Drosophila melanogaster: one gene and its partner. The protein of the gene in region 1 interacts with the protein of each later gene in a pairwise test. Each region holds a gene or a part of one and is shown on either strand. Other genes may lie near its edges.

Region 1 (12,294 bases):
GAGATTATGTCTTCTTTTTTTTATGAGTTAGTGTTCCAACCGTACGATTGTGTTGGACGGTCAGTATTGTTTTGACCGACCAATGGGGCAGTGGGATCATGAGGTAGTGACAGAACGGGTACTGGTTGATTGGTAGCGAACTCTTCAGGGGGTTGAGGTGGAGCCGATGGCATGGCAAAGTTGGTGTACATGGGGTAACGCGGAATAAAGTCATCCGTGCGATTGTGCTCATCCTGATCGATGTCGATGAACCTTTCACCAAAGTTTGTGGCCTCCTCGAAGGTTGGTGGCTCTAAAAACATGAATAGTATAAGAATTATACAATGATCAAGCACCTTTAAGCATTTACAAATTCAAATGAAGAGTATCTATGATTTCGCTATATACTTACTGCACTTGTCATAACTGGGAGGCAGATCTGCGGCGGCTCCGGCAGGAGTGTCCGGCGTTTCCGGTATCCACTGTGCTGCACTGGCTGGATTCTCGGCACTTTGGATCAATGGTATGGTGCCAATTACAATCGGCACCTCAAAGTCCGAGTCCACGTGGCAGTCGCCAGTGCTGATCGTGAGGATAACTTGGTAACTAACCGAAATGATGCCTTCGGTGCGGGAAGAGGGCGGTACTGCTGGAATAGCCAGGGTTCCTTCAATTTTTTTCTTTGAGAGCCTCAAAACGCGCTCCTGCTGGCAACTTTTGTTGAGGCTGTGCTCCTTTTCGCGAGTTTTGTGGTGCGGCGTTTGAGCCTGGAATTTGTAAATCTGCTTAAGTTTCAGTTCGATCCCATTCAGATCATAGCCACTCGACTGGTTGTCAATCTCCAGAGTAAAGCGTATCTTCTGACCAGGCGCGTAACCACCGAAGGGTATTGTTAATGTCGATAGAACCGGGCCTGAACTGCAGGGCCAACAGCAAAAGTGCTTGATGTCCTCTCGGACTAGGGGCATCTGTCGAAAAAGAGTGTGCATTTATTAGTTCCTAGGAATAACTAATATTACCTAATTACTCTTATTGATATAATTTTAAAGTTTAATTAACATTTTTTTGTTTACATTTCTACAGGTTAGGATCGTAAAAAATTTATTTTTAATTTATTTAAATTTTTTATTTAGTCCCATAGCTTTGGTTTGAATGAACACACCCCTTGTTTGTTTAATAACTTCGGAATTTACGTCCATAAGGCACGCAATGTTTCTATACTTGAATGACTCGTCTAATTGTCCTTAAATATCTGTCGCAGGACAATTTAAAACTGCATTGATTTACTACCGATTAGTGCAATCTAAACTTTTAGTAAACTGTTCCTGTCCTTGGACTCACCAGCAATTGGGGGCTCATGTTGAGGTTGTAGGTCTGTATGACCGTCAGTGGCTGCTTGAAGACGTTGTTGAAGCGCCACTGGCGATCGATGACCACGGAGACCTCGTAGAAGATTTTTCCGTACTGGGCCACCACTGATGAGGGGCATTCCAGGGGCAGTGGAATGCAGAAGTTGTAGGTGTGCGTACCTGGCGGCAGATTCCCGGATCCAAAGACCGATGTCCGGGTGTACAAGTACTGCTGCTTGCCTCGGAAATACTCCGTGTAGTGCTCGGTCTTTCCACCTCTCGTCCTTGTTCGCCGCTCATCCCATCGCACCTTTGCCTCGCCCTCGAAAAGAATGTATACCTCTAATCAGAAAGTGAAAAGAGAGAGAGTGATATTTGAATATGGTTTGTATCCGAAAACGAATCTTTATATGTTGAACGTATGTGAAAGCCTTCTTCGGACTCCGAAGGAGTTGCTGTAAGTGCAGAATGAGATTACGCCAATCAAAAATGGAACTGAACATGGAAATTGATACAGAGCACTGTATCAAATACTTGTTTGCTTGTATACATACTTTTGTTATCTTTTGTAAAGCTTTCAAGTTTGTTTTTAGAATTGGCTATTTGAAAAACGCAAAAATTGATCAATGAATTTGTAGTTAGGGGCGAACTGAGCTCATCAGGGCATGCAATTTAGGATACTAGGAATTAAACATTTGAGACAATTAAAGCCACATAAATGGTCGCTAAAATCCTTCTTATATAAGAAGCAAAACACTTTATGGCGCTACAACAAACTTGTTTGTTTGCTGCATTCTATAAAACCGGCTTGGTGTTATCACAGAGTCAACAGTGATTACGCTCAAATTAAAAACATATCAGTCCATTCGCTTTTTAACGACTAAAACTCACCGTTCACAGACTTTTCGGATGTTGTTGTCAGAATGGCCCTTCCATTGACCGTCTCACCACTGTAGTAAATGGGTTCGCGGCGATCGAGCTCAAAAGAGCAGCTGGAAGGCATTTTGGAAATGCAATCTATTATTTAGTATGTGGGTGCTGGCACATATATTTCGAAATTCCAGATCTTATTCACTGGCGACGCGCAACGTGAATTTATTTAGCACCAGACAAGCGTCGCACCCGAAGTGAGAATTTAGAATGAGAATAGCCGGTCTGCAACAGCTGGGATGTCAGTGACATCATCACTTGGCGAGAGCCAAAGCTTTTCTGGTGAGCGAGCTTTTGGGGCTTCCGCTCACTAAAAAAAAAAAACAAAATTGAGAGGCATCGGATTTTGATAAACGGTTCTCTTTTTTGTTTGTTTTGTTACGAAGAATAAGGCAACAACAAATCTAAAAATTTGTAAACAAAAATCAGGTGGGTTCTGTGAAAGCTCTAGTTTAGTTGAGTTGTTATTATCGCGTTGTTATTATTTTTTGGACGAAATACGGTGAAAAAGAATCACATCAAGTTAAGTCGTCTATGGACTTAAGTCTGTGATAGTTGATTACGTTTGTTAATGATGATTTGTACTCATTTACAAACGCGCAAAAGTCCAAGAAGTTCCTGATTTTCTATCGTGGTGCGTAGCAACCAAAGGGTATCTTGACAGTCGAGAGAATGTTTGATCAGTATTAAGGCGATAAATGCATGTCCGTTTCTATGCTATATATTCTATATAATTCGGAATGGGCCGGATCAGATACCTGTTACTCAGATAGAGAGGAAGTTATACATTTTTTTTTTGCATTTTAATGGAAATTGTCAAGCAATAGAATTAGAAATTGGGAGCATGTATGCGTAAATCAAAATTTCTAGCTCTCATAAGTATTTAAACTCACGGACTGAGCTAGAAGTCCTCCACTCAATTTAATTTATAAATGAATAAATAAATTTGTAGTTCAATGCCTTCATGGACTTGGTTGTCTAGGCTATAGTCGCAATTTATCGCGTATCACCCAGTAGACACTTTTATATTCTGGGTTGTTTATCATTCCGATATACATACATATATAGTAAACATTTTGGTAAGTACACTGGCGAACCGTAAAAGAAATAAATACTGCCGAGATAAGATATAGTCGTGATTTTTCGCGATAACTGCCCTCAGATCTGCACGGGTGACTCCACTGGTTGTTTCTCCGGTTGTTGCTTCGACTGTCCAGGATCGGCAGGACGTCTGCGTCGGCGGCGCCTTTTCTTCTGGGGAGGATTTGGCGGCGGGCTCTGGAAGGTGTCCACATCGAAGACCGGATAGCGTGGAGTAAATCGGGAGGCCTCGCTGACCGTGTTCGCGTCCGTGTCCGCAATATCAGTGGTCATGAACATGGCCTGCTCGTAGGTAGGAGGAGCTATAGAAAAAATGACATAAAAAATATGGAGAATGAAGAATGAAACTATCGCCTCACAATAGCATAACAAAAATATAAAGAACATATACATAAGGGCTCTATTTAACATCTTTCATAACAAAGTCCTAGCTAGAAATATTTTGTTCTCTTGTACTCACGTAAATCTGGTACGAAATCGTCGGCGGCCTCCAACTCATCATCTCCATCCTCTGGAAGCTCGAAGTCCTCTAGATCCTCGGCCATCTCGTAGCCGGAGTTGCTGACCCCGCTTGCGGCCATCTGAGCCAGTTCCATGGCCCTTGTAGAGGTGCATGGCAAGTCGGCAGGCAGCGAACTTCCAGATGGGAAGGCGTTAGTTGGCAGGAAGTCCGGTCCGGACACCGCAGTTGCCAGGGGCACGTTGCCAATAGTCACAGGGATTATGAGCCGGGGATTAGCCATAAGCCAGTTCATAACAGCCACCACACGCACTTCGTAAGATACGCGCACCACCTTGCTTAGGTGCTCGCAGGTGGGCGCCGTTGCCGGAATCCTCAGGGTTTCCGTGTAAGTCCTCTGCGCATTATGAGCCACCGGACCGCACTCGCGCTTCACCAGCATTATCTTCTCGGATGTGGTGCGTAGCGAGGGCGTATCCGCCGTGTATGTGGCTCTCAAATGCAGCATGATCAGTAGCTTCCGACAATCGGAGCTGGAGTCATTACGCACATGGGCGTGGATCAACATGAACTGACCCGGAACATAGCCCTGCTGCTGGAGAGTGACCTTCAACTGCACGGGCTTCGTGTGCATCAGGCAAAAGTGTTCCACGGCTTCATTGCTCGCCGGTTCCCGGAGCATCTTGGTCTCCTGGTTCAAGTCCAGCAGCTTTAGCACAGTGAAGCCCACGTTGTGGGTGCGATTGGAAGCTCCTGGCTTCAAAAAGGTGACCTTGGCCAGATACCGGATGTGTCCATAGGCACCCTCGAAGGACGAGGGGCAGTGGCTGGGAATGGGGCAAGCAAAAGTGTAGGTGTACGTGCCGGCGTCCATGTTAAAGTTGCTGCCCTGCTCGGAACCCATGAGGTAAGTGGTGGAGGCTATATAGTCCTCCCGCCCGCTGTACTGGTGCTTTGATCGCTTCTTGGGGTTTTGGATTGCCACCGCCTTACCATGTCTGCGGATGCGCCACTGGGCTTGCGCATAGCCACTTATTTGCAGTTTTATTCCTAAAAGACAAGAAATATTAGAATATGTAGATCTTCAATAACATGACTTCTTAACAGAGAAATATGAGATGTGCTGACTAACATTTATAATATTTCCATAATAATACTATAATATAGGCTATAATATAGACAAAGAAATCAGTACCTTAATAAAAAAGTTAAAAAAAAATACAACGGGCTTCCTAATAAAACTAGCTCACTTTGTTTATCTCTTTGGGTTACCTCATAAGGTAGGGGTAATATTAGGATAAGATAAAACAAAAGCGAGAAGCACTGAAAGACATTTCCAAAAACAGTTAATAAAAGCGTCTTAGGGGCATTTTAAATTTAACTAATACGGAAACTGTTGACGCACACTATAAAATTATTCAAATTGTTTAAATATTTGATTTGGGCTGCAAGCACGCAGATGCAAAATGGAAATGAAATAACTTAAAGACAAAAATTAACCTTTTTTTTTTTAAATAGAAGTAGAAAACATATATTTCGAAGAATCAACAAAACTTGTTGTCCATATCACTGCAAAGCCCAGACGAAAACCGTGAGTAAGTTCCCTGGTATTTCCTCGAAAGAAAATATAATTCGTTGGGTAGATCCCCAACTATAAGTAAGGTTGTTATCGCTCCCCTTCGGCTCCAGGAATCATCAATTATCGCACATTTGGAGTGTCCGCATAGTTATCACTTAATTACCCATTTCAATGGTTTGTTGAATCTTTTGCTTTTGCCAAACCTGACATTATCCGAAGCGATAAGATACGCCGCGCTCGATAAGCGAAAGCCCCCACTAGTTTCCGTACTGTTGGGGTATCCTAGTTGGTCTTACTTACCTCGCAGTTTCTTGGTCTTGTTCAGATTGACAATCACCTTGCCGGTTATCACCTGGCCGGTGAAGTAGGTGCCGTGCTCATTCTGGTCGAACGTTATCATGCAGTTCTTCGACATGTTGGCGAATAGGTAATGGGCTTATGCCTCTCCAGAGCTTTTAGATTTGCGAGCGATCCTAACGCGCCCGCTGCTAAACACGAACTGGGCCAACTGTATTGCTAACATGGCCTGGACTCTCATTTTCAGTTTTACCGTCGGCTGGCATTATCTTATCGGCTCAACTCAGTACAAAACCCACTGCAATATTTGTCTATCTGGATAGTTGGCAACGCGGCCAGTTGAGAGAAATTCCTTCATTAATTTATTAACAACTTATGCGATAAATCAGGGACTCCATTATCCTCTATTTCTTTATTGGTACAACGCCCTATCATCGCTATCTCAACCTTGGGAAAACTGGCCCTCATCGATCAGTTCTGCCTGCCAATTTCGTACTTCTCAAATTGCTGTCACTTACATATGTAAATACTCCGATAGCAATGGTAAAAATTTGTGTTTAAATACTGAGATACCTATCGCATTGATAAGATAAAATAAAAATGTTGGCCAAATAAATGCTGCACAAAAAATAAAATAAAAATAGCCGCAGCGGGTGACTTCAGTTTGTTGGGAGCCACGACACAGACAGGGCAAAAGTTAAACAGCTCCCGGATTATCATACAAATTATTCCGCACAATGGTAATCTGTGAGATTGAGTTCTGCAATAATTCCCAAGGAATTTTTTATGCAGGCCAGTTGATTTCAGGACAGGTGGTCATTAAAACTGAGAAGGAAAAGTCAGTGAAAGGTAAGGCGCTGATTCATTTTGCTCTACTCAAAACAAACGTTACTTGCTAAAAGACTTAATTGATTTGAAGTGCAAGTGTTGCAGGGGCTTAAAATAGCTTTTATTTTTACTTCAGCTGTAATCCTTAACATCAAGGGATATGCCGAAACCCACTGGGCGGATACCGAACACGATCCGGATGATCAGTCGAATGGTGAATCATTCAACGGACATGTGGACTACTTGGCCACTAGGGCTTATCTGCACGGGTCTAGTTCCAGCATAGGTATGTTCGAAGATGATAAATCACCATAAATCTAGAGATAATGAAATCAAAGCTCCATTTCAGAGGTGCTTATTGAGCCTGGCACCAGCTCGTATAGATTCGCCTGTCAGTTGCCCATCACATGTCCCTCTTCTTTCGAGGGGACACTAGGTCGGATACGTTATCTGGTGAACGTGAGGTTCGTGCGTCCGTGGAAGTTCGATCTGAACTTTAATCGATGCTTCACTGTGATCAAAGTGATGGACCTGAACTCCGAAAGCCTAATGCTGAGGGTATGTTTCTTAGTCTCTCCACACACTATGGAATAGTCCACTGTACCATGTGTTGTACCAAAGACATTAGAATAATGTCTAATTCTAGTGTCTTTGGTTGTACCATGGTCAAGTATAAAATTTTATATTTTTATATTTTATAAATTTTAGGTACCTAGTCAAGTGGAGTCCCAGCGAACTTTCTGCTGTTTTCCCTGCCGCTCGTCGCCACTCAGTATGCGACTTTCTGTTCCACAGAGTGGCTTTGTGCCAGGACAGATCGTGCCGGTGGAGGTGATGGTCTCCAATGACAGTGGTGTAGCCGTGGAGGACATAACCGTAAAACTGACTATGGTGGTGATTTACTACAGTCAACCCCCGTCCGCGGACACCAACAAGGACCGTTTTGAGATGGTCCTGAAAACAGGCGGAGGTGTGTCGACCAAATGCCGGCAGCAGTTTACCTTCGATCTTAAGGTGCCGCCAACTCCGCCAACCTGCTTTAATCTATGCAGCATCATTCAGATCGGCTATCAGGTGGAAGCGGAGGCCAGAGTTAAAGGTTGTCATGGCGGCCAGTCCCTTCACATGCCCATAACTATTGGAAGTGTCCCGCTAACGAAGCAACTCCAAAAAGAACCAAGGACTTGGGGTGAAGTTCTGCCACCCCAGCAGCTAGATGCGAAGGCTTTGATTTTAATTGGCAGCGAACAGAATGGAGAAGCACTCGGAAGCCCCAATCCTTGGGCTGCGGATCCTTCAATTGGTGAGTAAAATAGGAGCTTTAAGGAAATTCATACAAAACTCCATATTCGAATTTAAAGATCATAATTCAAGGAATCACTTATTTATTTTAGCACCGCCGAGTTATGCTGAGGCTAAACACATCTCCCCGGATCCGCACAAGTTCTCGAAATCGAAGAAAAAGTCTCAGAAAAGAGGTGTAAAAGGATCACAAGAGAGGAAAGCTGAAACAATTGTGTTTTCACCCTTATACGCAGTCTTTGATTTGTCAAACCAAGTGGACGAAATGACTTTGAGAGCAAATGAACCCAAGACTGATGGCGGCTATGTCAATGAAGGTGTAGAAAAAAGCACTTGGCTTTAGAAGGGCTTAAAAATGAATGTACCCACTCTGTAAATAATTAATAAGTAATCGAAATACAACAGACATGACAATTACCCTGTGGTTGAACGCAAACTGCGGGAACTTTTCGTCGACCTCAGTGAGCAATATTTGCTGAGTTGTGCGATATCTTATCGATGAGTTAATATATTTATTTGAGTGAAATTGCTATCTTCAGATGCGAGAGCCTCAACTCATTTGGGGGCACTTGTTTTTACACCACAAATATAAGTATCAGCTGTTTTTGGACCTGATAATTCAGTTCTCATGTTAGCTGGTTACGAATGATCTATTTATTGTATAAAAAAATTGTAGGGGGTTTTTGGGTTTACCAATAAATAGATTTATGGGTGTACTGATAAGATAAATTACCAAAAGCTCTCCGTTGCACAAAATAAGTGGTAAGAAACTTTTTAGTTCAGTTTGATTGCGGCAATTGAAGGGAAAACATCTTAACAATTAACGACAGACTTAAATTCATTAAAACTTGTGCTTTAACCATAAAAAACCATGGGAATAATTTGCCAAATTCTTTTTCACAACAACACGCAAGGGGTTTTTTACGCGGGCCAAATGGTTGCTGGTCAAGTGACTCTGAGCACTGATAAGGCGATTCAAATCAAAGGTAAGTACTCAGTTGTGATTGCGATACTTCATATAATTCTCGCAACATTTTACATATTAAGCAATTCGACTTAAGCTAAAAGGTTATGCAGAGACCCATTGGACCGAAAGCAAGACTGATTCGAATAACAAGTCCACTTCAGAGTCGTACAATGGATTTGAGAAATACCTTTCCAGTAAAGTTTATCTTTTGGGTTCCGAAATTAGCCCTGGTAAAATATTGAGTGATAATTTGTTATTGAAATTGGTCAAAATTTCATTTTATGTATTCGCAAAGAAATGGCTTTGGAGCCGGGAACTAGGTCCTACAATTTTGCTTGTCCAATTCCAATCAATTGTCCCTCATCGTTCGAGGGGACTCATGGTCGTATACGTTATATGGTGGATGTCAATATCATTCAGCCGTGGAAGTACGACAGCATTTTCTCAAGAGCTTTCACCGTTATTCAAGTGATGGACATAAACACCTATAACTCTGTTTCACAGGTAAATATAACATGAAACGAAATTTTGGAGGTCTGCTATAACAATGTAATCGCTTTTAAGGTTCCCGTGCAGGCCAAGACTGAGAAAACCTTTGGGGTCTGGCCCTTCCGATCGGATCCTCTAACGCTGGAGCTGAATTTGCCGCAGACTGGCTTTGTGCCTGGTCAGACGGTACCCGCAAATGTTCTGATTGGTAACGAAAGCAAAATTCGGGTGCACGAAGTGAAGGTTGGACTATCAATGATGATCACCTACTACAGTGATCTAAGTTCAGGTTCCAAGTGCGAGCGCAAGTCCGTGGCCAAGTTAAAGGCAGATGGAGTTTTGAGGAACTCCCGGAAAATGTACGACTTCCAACTGATGATACCCTCTACTCCGCCTTCATGTTTCCATCTGTGCCGCATTATCAAGATCGGATACCAGATCGAGGTTGTGGCCAAGGTGAAGGGCATGCATATCAATGGAACTCTGATAATGCCGGTGACTATTTGTGGTGTTCCGATATCGCCGTCAGCGGTGCAATATACGCCGCAGAGCTCTGGGCCAGAGGCTCCAGAACAAAGAGCTTTGACTTTGATTGAGGGAGAGGGAGCTTTTGCTCCAGCTGCTCCCCCATATCCCTGGTCAGAAGGATCCACACTATGTAAGCTGTCCTTGTTTTAATATGTCCATATCAATTATGTAACCATACGATTTTTATAGCGCCACCGAACTACGCCGAGGCCATGCATTCCCATAGTGACTCTGAGAAACAGTCAGAGTCGGGAAATGCGCAAGAGAAGTCTTACAAGCCGTTGTATCCTGTCTTCGATTTGTCTACTTCAACTGTAGAAAAGAGCAAGGAAGCGGCTTTGGATAAAGAGGAAAAGAAATGAAGGCGGGCGAAAAAACTATTCTACATTTGAGAACCATTGGACATCCCATCCCACGCCTGCTTGTCAAGAAGTCCTTGGGATTTTTCCGGAGATATGAGGGCTATTTGCTGCTCGACTGCATTTGGCAAAATGTATAATTCAAAATTGTGACAGCGATAAGATAAAGTTTTTCTGGCCATCGCTACCAATATAGAACAACCGCAATGTTTGTTTTATTCTCAGTTGATTTCTGGCAGCCAAGTGGGCATGTGGGTGCTATCGTCGCGAAAAGCGGTTCCTTCCACTCTGTCTGGAGTTCTCGGAATTTAGGGAGTAAATAACTGAACATTGGCATTAAAATCAAATCAGTCGTGTTTGCAGCGGCATCAGAGTAGGATCGGCCCATAAATACACGATTGCGGTTACAATTACAATTATGACTGTTACCTGTGAAATTGATTTCGATAACAATCCCCATGGCACCTACTTTGGGGGCGAGGTACTCACTGGCAGAGTTACGTTGAAGCTGGACAAGATGAAGTTGGTAAAAGGTGAGGGGCAGTTGATTTGAGATACCTTTGGAATTTGACAATATGCCATGAGTCATTCTTATCTTATCGTCCAACTTAAAAGTGCGGTTGAATGTTTTTAAACGAAGATTTAGTCCGGTGACTCATATATTTATAGTGAGTAGAGAACCACACGTGCGAAATCTAATGTCTACATGAAGGTGTTTGGCGAACATACACAAATGCATCAATGATAATATTTGCGTTCGATAAGATTAAATTATTTTTAAATAATCAATGGGTTTCGCATTAATTAATATTAAATAGGGGTGGATACATATTTGACTTTTTCATATATACAACGATTGCTTTTGTAAGTTTTTATGGATATTTCATGTGAATGCATAACAGTAATTCTGTATGATTAAAAGATTTTAATTTGTCAAAACCATAATCATCGTTTAGATGACTTAAAAAACAATTAAAGAATAAATTCAATTCGTTACAGTACATTGAGCTAAAATACCTTTCTAAGAAATACCTTATCAACTTCTTCTCCGCAGCCATCACCTTGAATATAACCGGATACGCAGAGACGCGTTGGATTGAAAGGGTGACCACAAACAGAAGGAGGAGACGTCGCACATTCTGCGGCCGCGAGGATTACATAGCGTCCAAAACATTTTTGGTGGGATCCAATCTGAGCAGTACGTAAAGCTCCATTTAGGCAAGAAAGTCCATCTAATTGCTAATCATATCTGCAGGCCAAGTATCCATTGAAGCGGGAATTCACACTTACAACTTCGTGTGCCTGATTCCCACCGAATGTCCTTCGTCCTTCGAGGGATCACACGGCAGGGTGCGGTACATGGCAACCGTAACCCTCGTCAGGCCCTGGAAATTCGATCAGAGCTATACCCGATGCTTTACGGTGCTAAAAGTGATGGACTTGAACTTCGATAGTCCACTGCTAAGGGTACGAATCAAAATCAAACACGAATACATATCTGTTAGAACCTAAGCTAATTGAATATGTTATGTAGGTACCCGCCCACAGTGAAACCTCGAAGACCTACTGCTGCTGGCCTTGCCGATCAGATCCGTTGGCCCTCCAACTGACCGTTCCACAGACAGGATTTGTACCTGGCCAGAATGTTCCCCTTAGCGTGCTGGTCACAAACGATAGCCACATTCCGGTGGAGCAGCTCCTCATTAGTTTTGTGATGCTGGTGACATACCACAGTAAGCCACCTTCGATGCCCAATACCACGTCCGAGAGGTTGGTGGTAAACACCTTCAAGGGGGACGCTGTGCAAAGGAACTGCAAGAAGCTATTTAGCTATGAGATCAGAGTCCCGGCCACTCCGCCCACCTGCTTCAACCTGTGCGGCATCATCCAGATCGCCTACCAAGTGGAGGTGGAGGCCAGGGTGAAGGGTTGCCACAACAACGAGGTTGTCACCATTCCGCTGACCATTGGCAGTGTCCCTCTTGCACAACACGTACCAATCCAGCCTCGGGGTTTCGTCCCCCAGCTGAATGTTAATGAGCTGGCTGTTGAAGAAGTAGCCACTGCTCCAAACTCTTCAAGTCCATGGTCTGTCGACGCATCCATTCGTGAGTTTACTAGAATCC
Region 2 (12,489 bases), on another chromosome or scaffold:
TACTCATAAAGTGCAGACGTTGCACTCGAAGCTCCCCAAAATGTACACACACACATACTCGTACATACGTGGCGAGGATGCCCACTTGGGTGACGTGACTCCGTGAAATATGCAATGGTTTTTTGTTATGTTGCTACCAGACTTTCGCATTTCGCCCACTTTATGGCTCCAAATGCTGTTACCCCTTTACGACAGCCCCCTCACCCTTGGCTTTTTCCAATTCCCCTTCCCCCATCGCCGCCGCCACTGTGATTGTGTTGTTGTCTTGCAACTGCCCCAAAGGGGTTGCATGCTGCTCCCGTCGCCTTTGTGTTCGCTGGGCTTTTGTGCAGCAAGTCGACCGGGTGTTTTAATGGGCGGCAGGGTGCAGGCTGCAGGATGCAGCTGAGTGCTTAACGCTTTATTTTCATTAACATTTCTAAGTTGCCTCTTCAGCGGCTTTAAGCTGTGCGACTAAGCGGCGCATGCGTCGAGGGTGCTGTTAGCGCACGAAGTCCTGCGACAGGACCTGCAATTAGCAACTCGCCATTAGAGGTCCTAATGACATGAAACCATACGTATGTATATGGGCATATCATCATACCGTGTGCATATGGTATCGCACAAACTTGTGCGATGAAACCTGCTGTAATTGAGTTCCATCAACCATCGTCTTTTCACAAAGGTGAACCACCACCAGCACCACCTACTGCCATTCCCACAGCTGCGGTTAAATTATTAAGGTATCTGTAGGCAAAGGGTAGAAGCTTTTATCGATTTTCATTGTTACACGGAAGGGGAGCTTAGATTATACATTTATAAAGTATATTACACAGAAATCTTTCGCTCTTAGAAAAGTTAAAATATATGAAATATAATTGAAAGAGGTAAAACGGATTTTTGGTATTAAAAAGATAGCATATTCCAATTTTAGATACTTTAGATTTACAAATAACTCTATAACCTTTATAAAGTTACGTATCTAGCCTAATAATTCTATGTTCTTAGTTTTTTCTCTCTGTGTGGGCCACGTTTGCAGTTTCAAAACACAGAGAATGCTGCGAACGGCGTGTCGACATCCCCGGATATTGTTGTTACCAATTGACAATATACATTACAGGACCTCCAAGGTTGGGGTTGAAAGCTCAAACATATGGTGGAACGTAAGGGGGATGTTGGAATAGCTATCGATACCAAAACACCCACCACGAACAGCTGATAAGGAAAGCTCCATGTAGCTGGGGGTGAAAAAGCTGCTCGTGGAGGGTTTCCCAGTTTTCCGAACGACTTCCATTGGTTTACATTTCGCCAGCCATCGTGTATTTGCCACAAAATCCAGAGAAAACCAAGCGAAAAATCAAAATAATCATCGAAATAATGGAAAAGCGCATATCATAAACTGATATTTGCGTGCTCAAGTGTAAATTGAAGGAACGCGTGTTGTGGTGATTCTTTTTTGCAGCCCGCAAAAAGGCCAAAAATCAATAGGCGTGTTCAAATTGTAAACACGGCAAGCCCTCGGACAAGCCTCTTTCGCTTTCTCGGCCTTTCCAACCCCGAAATCCCCAAGTGAACTGTGACCGCCAGCTGCCCGAAGTGAAAAGGCCCAGTCGCGTTCGAAAAACCGCAAAAATAACCATTAGCCAGCGAAATGATTGCCAACTTGGCGTTGCCTTTCCTGCTGATGATCGCGGAAGCAGCAGCCACCGCGGAGCAGGTGAAGTACCTGGAGTACCTGCAATCTTCGCCGGCGGAGCACCGGCTTAGCAAACGCATGGATCTGGAGGTGTGCATAGGTGAGACCAAATTCGTTAGCCACATCCAGCTTTATGGTTGGTAATTAGTTTTAGTCTTTTGTTTGTGTGTCTTTGGCCATAATAACTCAATAATCACCTAATAATATAGAAGACCACAAACTTCAACACAAGAGCATTTACGAACTTTTGGAGTTTCTTTCGACTTCTGCCCACAGGTCATTTTGATGTGCATAAGAACACCATTATTCGCACGGGAGAGTCGCAGGCGATTGGTGGCAAGTACCTCCAGGGCATTGAGCTGGACACCATCGAGGAATGCGAAAGGCTGTGCTGCGAGACGGACGCCTGCGATGTGTACATCTTCGAGCGGAAGGCGGGTGGCTATTGCTACCTCTTCGAGTGCGGTCCTCCGGAGGATTTCCGCTGCAAGTTCACCAGGCACGCCAACTACACGAGTGCCGTGCTGAATCCACAGCCAAAGCCAGTCGGTGAGCTGGTGACCACACCGCGTCCGCAGTTGCCCCACATCCCCAGCAACAATGTGTCGCAGCAGGAATGGGAGCTGAGCAACCTGAAGCTAAAGCCGGAAGCGCGCGACAAGCCCACTGTTTCCACCGCCGCAGTGGTGGCTCCCACATCGGGAACGGGAACGGGAACGGGAGTGGGTCTGGGAGTGGGCCAGTCGCCAGTTTACCAATCGCAAAGTGGTGAGTTGTGGTCGGGTTTTCGATACCTTGTACTTTATAGAAATCACGGGTATATGCGATTTGAAGCTTAGAATATATATAAGAACAATTTGAATTTAAAATCTAAATCAATCTTAAACTAAAAATATTATCTAAAAATTCCTACGATTGATTACCTACTATTTAAAATTGTTCCCCTTCGAGAAACTAACGTAACCACTTTTTCAGTTCCCGCCGCGCATTGTGGACGCTTCCAGTTCACCTGCCACTCCGGCGAGTGCATCGCGGTGTACAATGCCTGCGATGGAATACCCCAGTGCGAGGATGGCAGCGACGAGGGACCGGAAGTGAGTTGCACTTTCACCTCCAGCCAAATACACACACTCCCTCAACCGTTAATTGCTAACCCCATTTTCAGTGCAACATCGTGCTGTCGACGGCCACAAAACCGGCCACTACCAGCAGCAATTTGGAGCCCGTGAAGCCGATGGTGTCGCAGTATGTGCCCGTGCAGAACGTGCAACAGACACAGCAGGTCGTGGCCCAGCAGATGCAGCAGCAGCAACCGCAGCAGCAACAGCAACAGCCGCAGCAGCAACCACAACATGTCATTGTTTTGGGACCACCACCGCCACCGCCGCCTCCACCGCCCATGGTGAACAATCGTGAAGATGCCGCTGCCTGGGCCAACCGCAAGATGATTGCCGAAGGGCAGCAGCAGCTGCCGCAGCAGCAACTGCAACAGCAACAGCAGCAACAATCATCGCAGCCAAAGACGGAGATCATCAACACGGGTTAGTATAGATAAGGGGTCTAGGAAAATATAGTTAAGATTAGAAGTTAGTTGATAGGATGTATTAAAAGCATATGATGTGTCAAAGATTAGATTTAATGATTATTAACACAACAAAGTTTAGGAAATGAAACTTTTGCAGCTGTAGTATACGATGTAGTTCCCAATTGATGATATCTGTCTTATCTATAGAATCTTCAACGCTAACAAACTTATGATTGGCAATCATACAGGGCTTTTCTTCATTTTTTTTATATAATTTATTTTATTTTATGCCTCACAACCCAGTAAAGCTGCTGCAGCACTGCACTAAGTTGCATTAAGTTGTTAATTAAACTCGATTGAGTGTCCAGGAGCAATTAGTTCTAGCCAGGCACTCCAGCCCAACAAAAACTAAAAGCTGAGTAAATATTTATGAGGACAGGGAATGGGGAGTGATACCCGGAGGCTACGGCGCTCCAGTGCGACATTAGCACACAAATGGCCGGCACAGTGCACGCAATGATCCCACTGCCATGGCCACTTGGCCACGACACACTCGCTCCCTTGTTCCGGAGGGCTTTTCTGCTGGGAAAATCGCAAATAGCCCATCAGTTTTCATTGTGTGAAATGGGAGCTGCCGTCGCTCGAAATTGATTTACGAATGCTTGTGCCCTATGCGTGCAGTGCCTCTGTCTGCGCGTAATTAATTCAATTAGCTGTGCGTTAACCGGGATACACACACTTCATGCTTCCTAGTGACGCCTTCGCCTCCGCTTTCTTACAGACGCACAGAGCCACATATTTAGCCATAAAGGCGGCCTCCAGCTGCAGCAGCCCGCAAACGGACAGGGTCCACCGCCGTCGCCACTCCAGGTTCCGGGTCAGATGGCGGGAGCAGGTCAGGTTCAGGTTCAGGGGCAATCCCCAACGCTGCAACTGCCCGGCTACGAGGCCAACCAGGCTGTATACGGGATGTCACGCACAGGAATCTACATGCCACAGCAGCCGGCGCAACTCCAGGCTCCAGCTGGCCAACAGCAGCAGCAGGTGCAAGCGAGTGTGGTGTGGCCACAGCAGGCTCCATTAATTCCGCAGCAACAGTCGCCCGTGCAGCAGTCGCAGTCCCTGATGCCCCAGCAATCTGGTCATGTCTATGCCGCCGCTGCTCCGGCCATCCAATCTCCGCCAGCTGCGCAGCAAGCCATGTTGCCAGTCCTAAATGCAGCACCCGTAGCTGGGAAAAATCAGGGTCCAGCGGCAGATGGGGACTACGATGATTACGATGAGGAAACGTACACGGAGGCACCAAAAAAGGTAAGATCTGATGAATGAATATAGATTAAGATTAACCATTCATTTTAAAACCACAGAAGCAGCACAAACACAAGAAGGTCAAGACGAAGACGGCCAAGGATCCCATTGAACTTGCCCTGGAGCAAAACAAGTTGCAACCGGAGGGATCCCTTCCAGCCCTGCCGGTTCCCGCTTCCCCCGTCCACGAGCAGTACAAGATGATCCATGACAACCTGGCGATGGAGTTCCGCGATCACGACGGTCACTCGGAGCGACCTGGCGGGGCGGTCCTCTCGCTGACTCTGGGCCTGCTGGTCACCGCTGCGCTGGCCATTCTTATCGGGTGCAGGATGCGGACGGTGACGCGGAGGGCACGACGACTGGGCGGCAAGACGCCCTACTCACAGGAGGCGGACTTCCTGGTCAACGGCATGTATCTGTAAGCCGGTTGCCTGCGGATTAGGTCGGGGGCTAGCCAAGATTCGTTGTGTTGTTCCACGTGCGGGGAAGCGTGAGGATATATATATTTACGATTAATTGTGTAATGAAAAACGTATTTTATATAAACAAAGATATATCAAATAAAACTAAAACTTAAACATAGCGATCGCCTTACCTGTGGACCGATTAATGAGTCGAAAAGTAATTTTATAATATTTTTTATTTAAGTTCCTTTCCATTTGCGATTTCAGTTTTGTTTTGGTTACGAAAAAAACTTACAATTACTTTGTTACGAAATCTTGTTCTCAGTTTTTTTTTCAATGAAGTGACGACGATGACTGGTTTAGTCATTAAAACTACAAAATAGTAGGAAGTTGGTTTTTATTTATATTCTTTTTTTCTTTTCTTTTCCTTTATATATCAGCACTATACTCGTAATTGCCTTTCTTTAAAATAACAAATTTCGCTGTGGTGGAGCCTTTTTAATGTTCAAGTCTAAAATCATTATTAGTGAAAGGTAGTATTTGACCAAAAAAACAAATTTCGAACGCTTAAAAATATCACATTAAAAAATCAAACCGAATCCGATTTCATATATAAATAACACAAATTTATTTAATTTTGTTTTGGAATTTGGAATAGGTTGTCTTAAGTTTTGTATACATAGATTTATTTCGTTTTTCGTTTACCACTTCATTTTTAGTCTTTTGTTGTTGAGAATTTTCCTTGCTGTGGCCAGTTTTTTTTTTTTTTTTTGAATGAAAATCATCTTTTACGAAGTTTACTGCCCTGACATTGGTTGCATTAATATTACGCATTACGCATTAAAATAGGCTTTTCTCTTTACTCGTTTAGCTCCATTTTCACTTAACACTGTACACATATAATGTAAACTAATTGTATTTATATTTATTATGCAGTTGAATAGTTTATAGTTTAATATGTCAATGTGCAATTCATGATGCAGTTTTTCATCGAATGTGACTCGTTACAATGTTTTCGGTTGCTAAGCGAATTAAAAACAAAACTAGTTTCCGAAAAATACAACTCAAGAAATCTCCAAATGTTTTTTTTTTTTTACAACTTCTGTATTAACGTGATATAAATATAGACTGAATTTAGATTGGATTGGATCGACTGGCTGTTGGCGGTTGCTTTTCGTGTTACGGTAGTTGTTACTGTTAATTTAGTAGTTATCGTACTTTAATATATATTTATAAAATAGACTTTCTCCGTTGCAAGATGCGAATTTTCGTTTCTGTTGTTGCAGTTTTCGGTTTGTGGTACATGCACGTTGCCAAAACTTACGCATCATGTTGCGTACCTAAAAGACAAGCACACAGATTACTAAGTTTGTTTACTCGCTTTTCCAGCGACAACTCACCTTTTTGTCCAGAGACGCGCAATTCGATCGTGCTCCTCACGATTCTGCAAATATTGCGTGGCAATGCTGCCCACCAGCGGATCGGCTGTAAAGACACATGATATAAACATGAGATCATATTTACTACAGTCCTAGGAAAAGTTAAATCAAAGTGGAGAACACGACACTGTATATCAAAGTCTAAAAAAAATAAGTCTCACCTGGATTACAGTCTGTGAGCAGGGAGCAAATTGACAGCAAGACCTTTGATATGGTCAGCGCCGGCGACCAGTTGTCCTTGAGTATGTCCAGGCAAATGACGCCCTGGCTGTTGATGTTGCAGTGATAGATGCGCGTGCGGAACGTGACTTTGGGTGGCTTGAAGGGATACTCCGGCGAGAAGTGTATGTCGAGGAAGAAGACGCCGCCCTCGTAGACGGATCCGGGTGGTCCCAGTATGGTGGATACCCACTCGTACAGGTTGTCGCCCTTGGGCCCGGCACTGCAGTTGGGCGGTGGGTCCAGTGTGATCTCAGCCAGCTCCTTCTGTATGCGCTTGGCCGAGGTGCCCAGCGCCCTGGATATCCTGGGCGTTGTTTTGGCTTCCTTTCGCGGCTCATCTCCGCCACCGGCATTGCTCCCGGAGGCACCACCGTTGGCGTTGCTGCCCCTGCCGCCACGTGCCTGCGGAGTTCCGGCAGTCGTCGGCTGGCTGGTATTGCTCACGTTGCTGGCCGTTGTGCTGGGTGCACTGGGCGCATTTGAGGTGGCACTGGAGGTGGCCACCTCGGCGGCACTGCCCGCTGCTGGGGTTGAAGACATTTTTGGTCTCGTTTCTTCGAACTGAAATGAGTATTTTGATGTTTGGTTAGATAATGGTTTATGTAAACGATCCACTATGTTCAGCAGGGAATTTCCATAGAAAACTGGTGAAATATGAAGCCAAAGCCTACTTGGGATTCACATTTATTTTTAAAGGGAAATCCCTTCTTGCCTGCACTTTGTGCGTACGAATGTAGTTGATGTGAAAAGTATGGCCAGTGGAGTCGGCAATTATACGCGAATCTTGGACGGGGCTTCCCCAGGGTCCTTGACCTGGTTTTCCACCCAGTTTGTGCCCCTTTATGATGACAGGGGTTTGCTTTTTTTCGCACAAACGCACGCATTTCTATTGAGCAGCGGCCATTTTGGCAAACCCCCGACAGTAAAAAGTGGGTTTTGCATGGGATTCGTTGTCAGGCCAGTGGATGCTGGACAGGATTAGGTGATAGCTGGACAAGCATTTGCCCCCAAAGTTTCGAGAGCATGTGCTGGATGCCGCAAAAAATCAATCAGCAGACATTTGCAAAATGCCGCCGCCGACGGCGGAGGATGATGATGACGGTGCTGACTCCGCCGCCTGCAGCTCGATTGCACAATTTCGCGGAATTTGGACGCTGATTAGGTGGGGTCTATCTTGGGACCAGCCCGTGAAGCACTATACACACCTCACTATTGCAGTTTCTTTCACTTTTTTCTATCACAACACTTGCGAAAATGATTCTCCCTGTGTCGCCTGCTGCCCTCTCGCTCGCACTCTCGCGCACACGGCCTTCGCAGTGGATGCACGGCTGTTCCGCTGGCGTCCTTGGTGGGTGGCAGTGTCGGCGCTCCAAACTCCTCGGCGGCTCACGGTCGCGATCGTTGTTATTTCGCTAAATTACAGTTGGCAAATTACGAGGCGACGCAGAGCCGACTTTATCTTTGTTAGAAACTCGATAATTTGTATGTTTGTAGCCAGCTATCGGTCCGGGTCCGTCTCTAGGTGCTCGCGCTGTCCGCTCATCCTTAGCGAACTATCGATGTTCGGCTTCTGGCAACCGTTTTTTGCCTTTTCTAGCACTGTGGCAACTCGGAAGCGGATACCATAAAAATAATATTCAAGTATTGAAATCTAACTATTTCGTAAATGAAATAAAAAACAAGAATATTTACACCATGTATAATACACTTTGAATACCTCTCTGCTTCACCCACTTCGATAATTTAAGTGTAACACCCCAGATGTAAAATCTTTCAATATTTACTTTAAAGTTTAAACTAGTTTTGTATTTATAAAAAGTTTACAAGTTTTGGGATTACTTCGTCTCCGCTTCTTCCGCTAGCGCCTTGCGAGATTTGAATACGCGCACCGTGTTGTCGACACCACCAGATACAATGTACTTGGGATTGGACCAGTCGATGTCCAGGACCTTTTCACCGTGACCCAGAAGATCGTACAGTGGGGCCTTGGGACTCCTGCAGTCCCACAGCTTGTTCTGGTTGTCATAAGCGCCGGAGACAAATAGGAACTCCTCCGTGGTGGACCACATGACGGTCTGCACCCAGGCATTGTGTCCCAGATAGGTATTCCTTACCACTGATCCCTCTGAAAGATCCGAATTATATTGGTTAGGTGGAAGTTCCATTGTTGATATTGGAGTATTAGATCTTACGGTTTGTCCTAGGATCATAGAGCCGCAGATTCTTGTCCGCCGAAGCAGTCAGTATCAGCCGATTCAGCTTTGAGTAGCTCGCATCGAATATGGACTTGTTGGTGGATATTTCGGTCTTGATGCCCTCAAGACTCAGATCCCACACCTTGAGTGTGTGATCCCAGCTGCCAGTTAGCAGAGTGGTAGCATCCATCCACTGCACGGCTGATACGCTCTCACGATGTCCCTGCAGCGTAATTTTGGGGGTCTGAAAGGAATTGTAAAGCTGATTACAAGTCTAATTATAAATGGCAAGACTACTCACTCTCACACCGCTCTCTTTCATCCGCTTTGAGCTGCCCTCGACTGCATCGTCCAGCTCTGCTGACCACACCTTCAACATCGTGTCCCAAGAGCCCGTGGCAAATCTCAGACCATCCGGACTCACGCTGACACTGTCGACGCCTCGCTCGTGGCCCTTGCACACGGAGACACATTCCACCGAGTTGGAGCCCACGTTCCACTGCCACAGCATGGCGGTCTGATCCTGCGATGTGGACACAAAACGTCCCGTCTCCTCGTCCAGCGATATCCAGTCCACCGCCTTGATGGGCGCCGTGTGACCAGAAATAGTGAGAATGTGCTTGCCTTTGTTGGTCCACAAATTCAGGGTGTTGTCGTAGCACCCGGAGAGGATCCACTTTCCTCTAGCCTTCACCGCGGACACCCAGTCGTCGTGCAGCAGGCAATCCTGTGGCTCTGGCGCCGGGAACCGCTCCACATACTCGATCTCGATGGCGTCCTCGAAACTGATGGCTTTCTCGCGCAGGTGATCGCACAGCCGGCCACGCAGGTACTCATCGAACACCAGGAAGTCGAAGTCCGTGTCGGAAGAGCCATCTTTTTGACGCAACAGTGCGTTCACGAATGTGTTTAGCTCCACGGTGGTGACGGTGCCATCGATGGCATAGGGCACATCAGGCACGGCATAGCTGAAATAGGGTATCTTGATTAAAATCTTCTACTGATAGAGATTCTAGATGGACACTCACTGCTCCTGCTTGGTCTTCAGGTGCACCTGCACCTGCCCCTCGCCGTTATCCACATCCATCTCCTGGCCCACGTGCGTTTCTTTTTGGCTGGATTGGGATTGGGGTGTTCCCGCGTGTGTTTGCTACGGTTATGACTTAACTCCTGCAGGTGGTACAAGGTGTTGACCACTAAACTAGAGGTTCTTCCTTCGGGAGATCGTTGTGTAAAATTAAATTGAAAAGAAGCGTGTTTTTAAACGAACGATGGTAAATGCAACAAATACATGCAAAAACACTAAAAAACGCCGAAGCGCATGCCGGAATAAGAGTTATCGCATTGCTATCGCTGTGCTCTTATCGAAATGCCTTATCGTCTTGTTATCACCCGTTACTACTAAGCGGAGTTTTTAAATTCAAATTTTTTGGTGCGTTAAAACTATGCATAATTATAATAGCTTGCTTAAGTGTAATTTGCCGATTACTTTAACAAATAAAAAGATATTAATAGAGTGTATGGTATTTCTAATCACTTTGATTTTGTTTCTCTAAAATATTACTCATCAAATTCGAAAAACCGCTGATTGCATAACCACTGCTTTGTCGTTTCTCCTTTTTTTTATTACAAAAAAATCTTACAGAGATACGAGCCAATTCGCAATACTGATAATTAAATATTTTTTGCAAGCAAATCAGGCGCAGATGATTTGCTGTAATTTAGCCACTAACTGCTTCTCTTCCTTTTGATCGTCTTACGCAAAATGGAAAAATAAGAAACCAAAAAATGCACAGCCGCGGCGGCAATTTGTAAATGACTCTTCAATCTTCAAAGACTGGTAATTGTTAATATTTTACGTTCAGGCTATTAATATGAACCAGATAGCACCTGAAAGACCACTTTGCGGCCGAGTGTTCACTGGAAGGTTAAATGCCACTTGACATTTCTGAAGTGGCGCTTAACCTTCGCATCAAAATTGGACAAATGCCCAAGAAAATAAAAAATTTCCAATAAAAAATGTATTCACCTTAATGGGTCGATGGGGATATTAAGCTGGGAAGTAATAACACTTTTTTTCGGTACTACTACTTTGTGCCACCATTTTGGCTTTACAAAAAACCAGAAACGAAGCGAAATGAAAGAGTTAAAGCTTTCCAGATTTTCGGGGCTTCCAGCGGCGCAGCTCAGCTTATAAAACGGGCATTGCGCCTGCGCAGCCGAAACATTACAACAAACGACGCGCGCAAGGTAAGACCATAACCAAATCCAGTCCGCATCGAGCGCCACTGAATCCGTGCATCTCTTGCAGTTGAATCCCCTCGAGAAAACCCACAAAATGAAAGTGTTCGCGCTGTGTTCGATGCTCGCCCTGCTCCTGGCTGGTGCCCAATCCCTGCCCCAGAATCGCGAGGGTGCCGCCTACACGAACGAGGCGATCCGGCAGGCGCAGCAGACGCTTCTCATCCCCAAGGATGCCCAGATCCAGAACGTGCAGGAGGGCATCGAGCTGGGCGCGTACGAGCAGATACCCGGCAACCAGCGCATCAATCTCTTCGAGATCCTCGGCGACCAGGTGCCCTCCGAGGTGATAAACAACCTGCAGTCCCAGGTCGACCAGATCGGTCGCAACTAAGTCGTAGGACCACTTCCTTGGTTAGCTCATTGCATTTCGTCCTCATTGTTAAGTTTCTCACTAATAAAACGAAAACATTACAAGTATTTAATCGCAGCGTTTATTTACCACCCAAAACAATTGGAAAAAAAAATCCGAAAAAAATATTAAAAGCGAAAGTGATCCTCCCCGAAAACCAGTTGGTTCCTCTGCAAACGAACTCTCGAATCGAAACGAGTGATTTATTGGTTTGATTTGTGGCTTTTTCCTAACGATCTTCGCCGACTTTCTCCTCGCTGATCCCGCTGCGCATACGAATTAACAATAAAAGTCGGCACATTGCTATCGCATGGCATGGTATCCTATCCTCAACCTTGTTACGTAACCCGGGGATGGGAATGGCGATGGAGTCGCTGGTAACCCGAGTGGTTGCCCCGCCGGCAACTTTTGTGCTGCGGTCGTGATGCAACAGTTGTCGTCGTGATTGTTTTCCTCGGACTTTTATTTATTTTTTTTTGTATTTTGTATTTTGTTGCTTTTTGCTGGGCTTCGGTTTGTTTATTTAATTTCTGGTAATTGCCGCCACATGCACTTGCATGTGTAATGAGTTGTACGTGGAGGGGGCGTGGCATGCCCGCAGGTACAGAGGGGCTGCTTGCATAACATCTGGGTGGGTCCGATGATCGTAGGGTATTTTATAGGGCCCTGATTTTTGCATCATTTGTGGTAATAAATATTCCCAAATATGATATGAACCACTTAAAACTTTTATCTTGTGTGTTTAGAATTACCTCATTTTTATTTCGTACTTCATACATTGTTAAATGAGCTTCAATCTAAATTTACGCTAGTTAAAGTATTTTCATAATATATTTTAATTATCTCAAAAATTCTGTGTGGTATGTGTGTGAGTGATAGTGTGCACGATCATCGCCTAAATAAATTATGTTCATATAGGTAATTAATTATTTATTATACTCGTACGTACTAACTAAAGAATGACTGCGTTTTCATTTTGACACTTTTCTCCGCTCGTCAGCTTTGAAATTCACTCGAGCTTTTGATTTTCCTTTCTAGGAAAATCCAACGATAATTATCAAGACT

The links.
Region 2: the proteins of CG10086 (region 1) and Ubc2 interact in a two-hybrid assay, tested with the Drosophila melanogaster proteins (2 studies listed by BioGRID).

What each region holds. Positions count from the first base shown.
Region 1 is NT_033777.3:7,784,246-7,796,539, reverse strand, and holds CG10086 (uncharacterized protein), read right to left. Parts: upstream 5,908-12,294; 5' UTR 5,814-5,907; coding exon 5,699-5,813; intron 4,870-5,698; coding exon 3,820-4,869; intron 3,662-3,819; coding exon 3,417-3,661; 3' UTR 3,057-3,416; downstream 1-3,056. Other genes in the region: CG2641 (uncharacterized protein), read right to left, coding at 21-292, 392-947, 1,321-1,670, 2,220-2,331; CG18746 (uncharacterized protein), read left to right, coding at 6,433-6,544, 6,660-6,809, 6,873-7,081, 7,232-7,826, 7,918-8,168; CG18748 (uncharacterized protein), read left to right, coding at 8,697-8,811, 8,873-9,022, 9,088-9,296, 9,357-9,939, 9,999-10,171; CG18745 (uncharacterized protein), read left to right, coding at 10,587-10,701, 11,223-11,366, 11,424-11,635, 11,703-12,276.
Region 2 is NT_033779.5:10,759,876-10,772,364, forward strand, and holds Ubc2 (ubiquitin conjugating enzyme 2), read right to left. Parts: upstream 8,065-12,489; 5' UTR 7,782-8,064; intron 7,212-7,781; exon of another isoform or gene 7,138-7,211; 5' UTR 7,117-7,137; coding exon 6,516-7,116; intron 6,401-6,515; coding exon 6,316-6,400; intron 6,256-6,315; coding exon 6,243-6,255; 3' UTR 5,135-6,242; downstream 1-5,134. Other genes in the region: CG6495 (uncharacterized protein), read left to right, coding at 1,631-1,775, 1,952-2,443, 2,651-2,769, 2,841-3,216, 3,982-4,511, 4,568-4,933; CG6724 (uncharacterized protein), read right to left, coding at 8,412-8,701, 8,769-9,015, 9,073-9,739, 9,800-9,858; CG17127 (uncharacterized protein), read left to right, coding at 11,110-11,406. UniProt on the Drosophila melanogaster protein: Catalyzes the covalent attachment of ubiquitin to other proteins.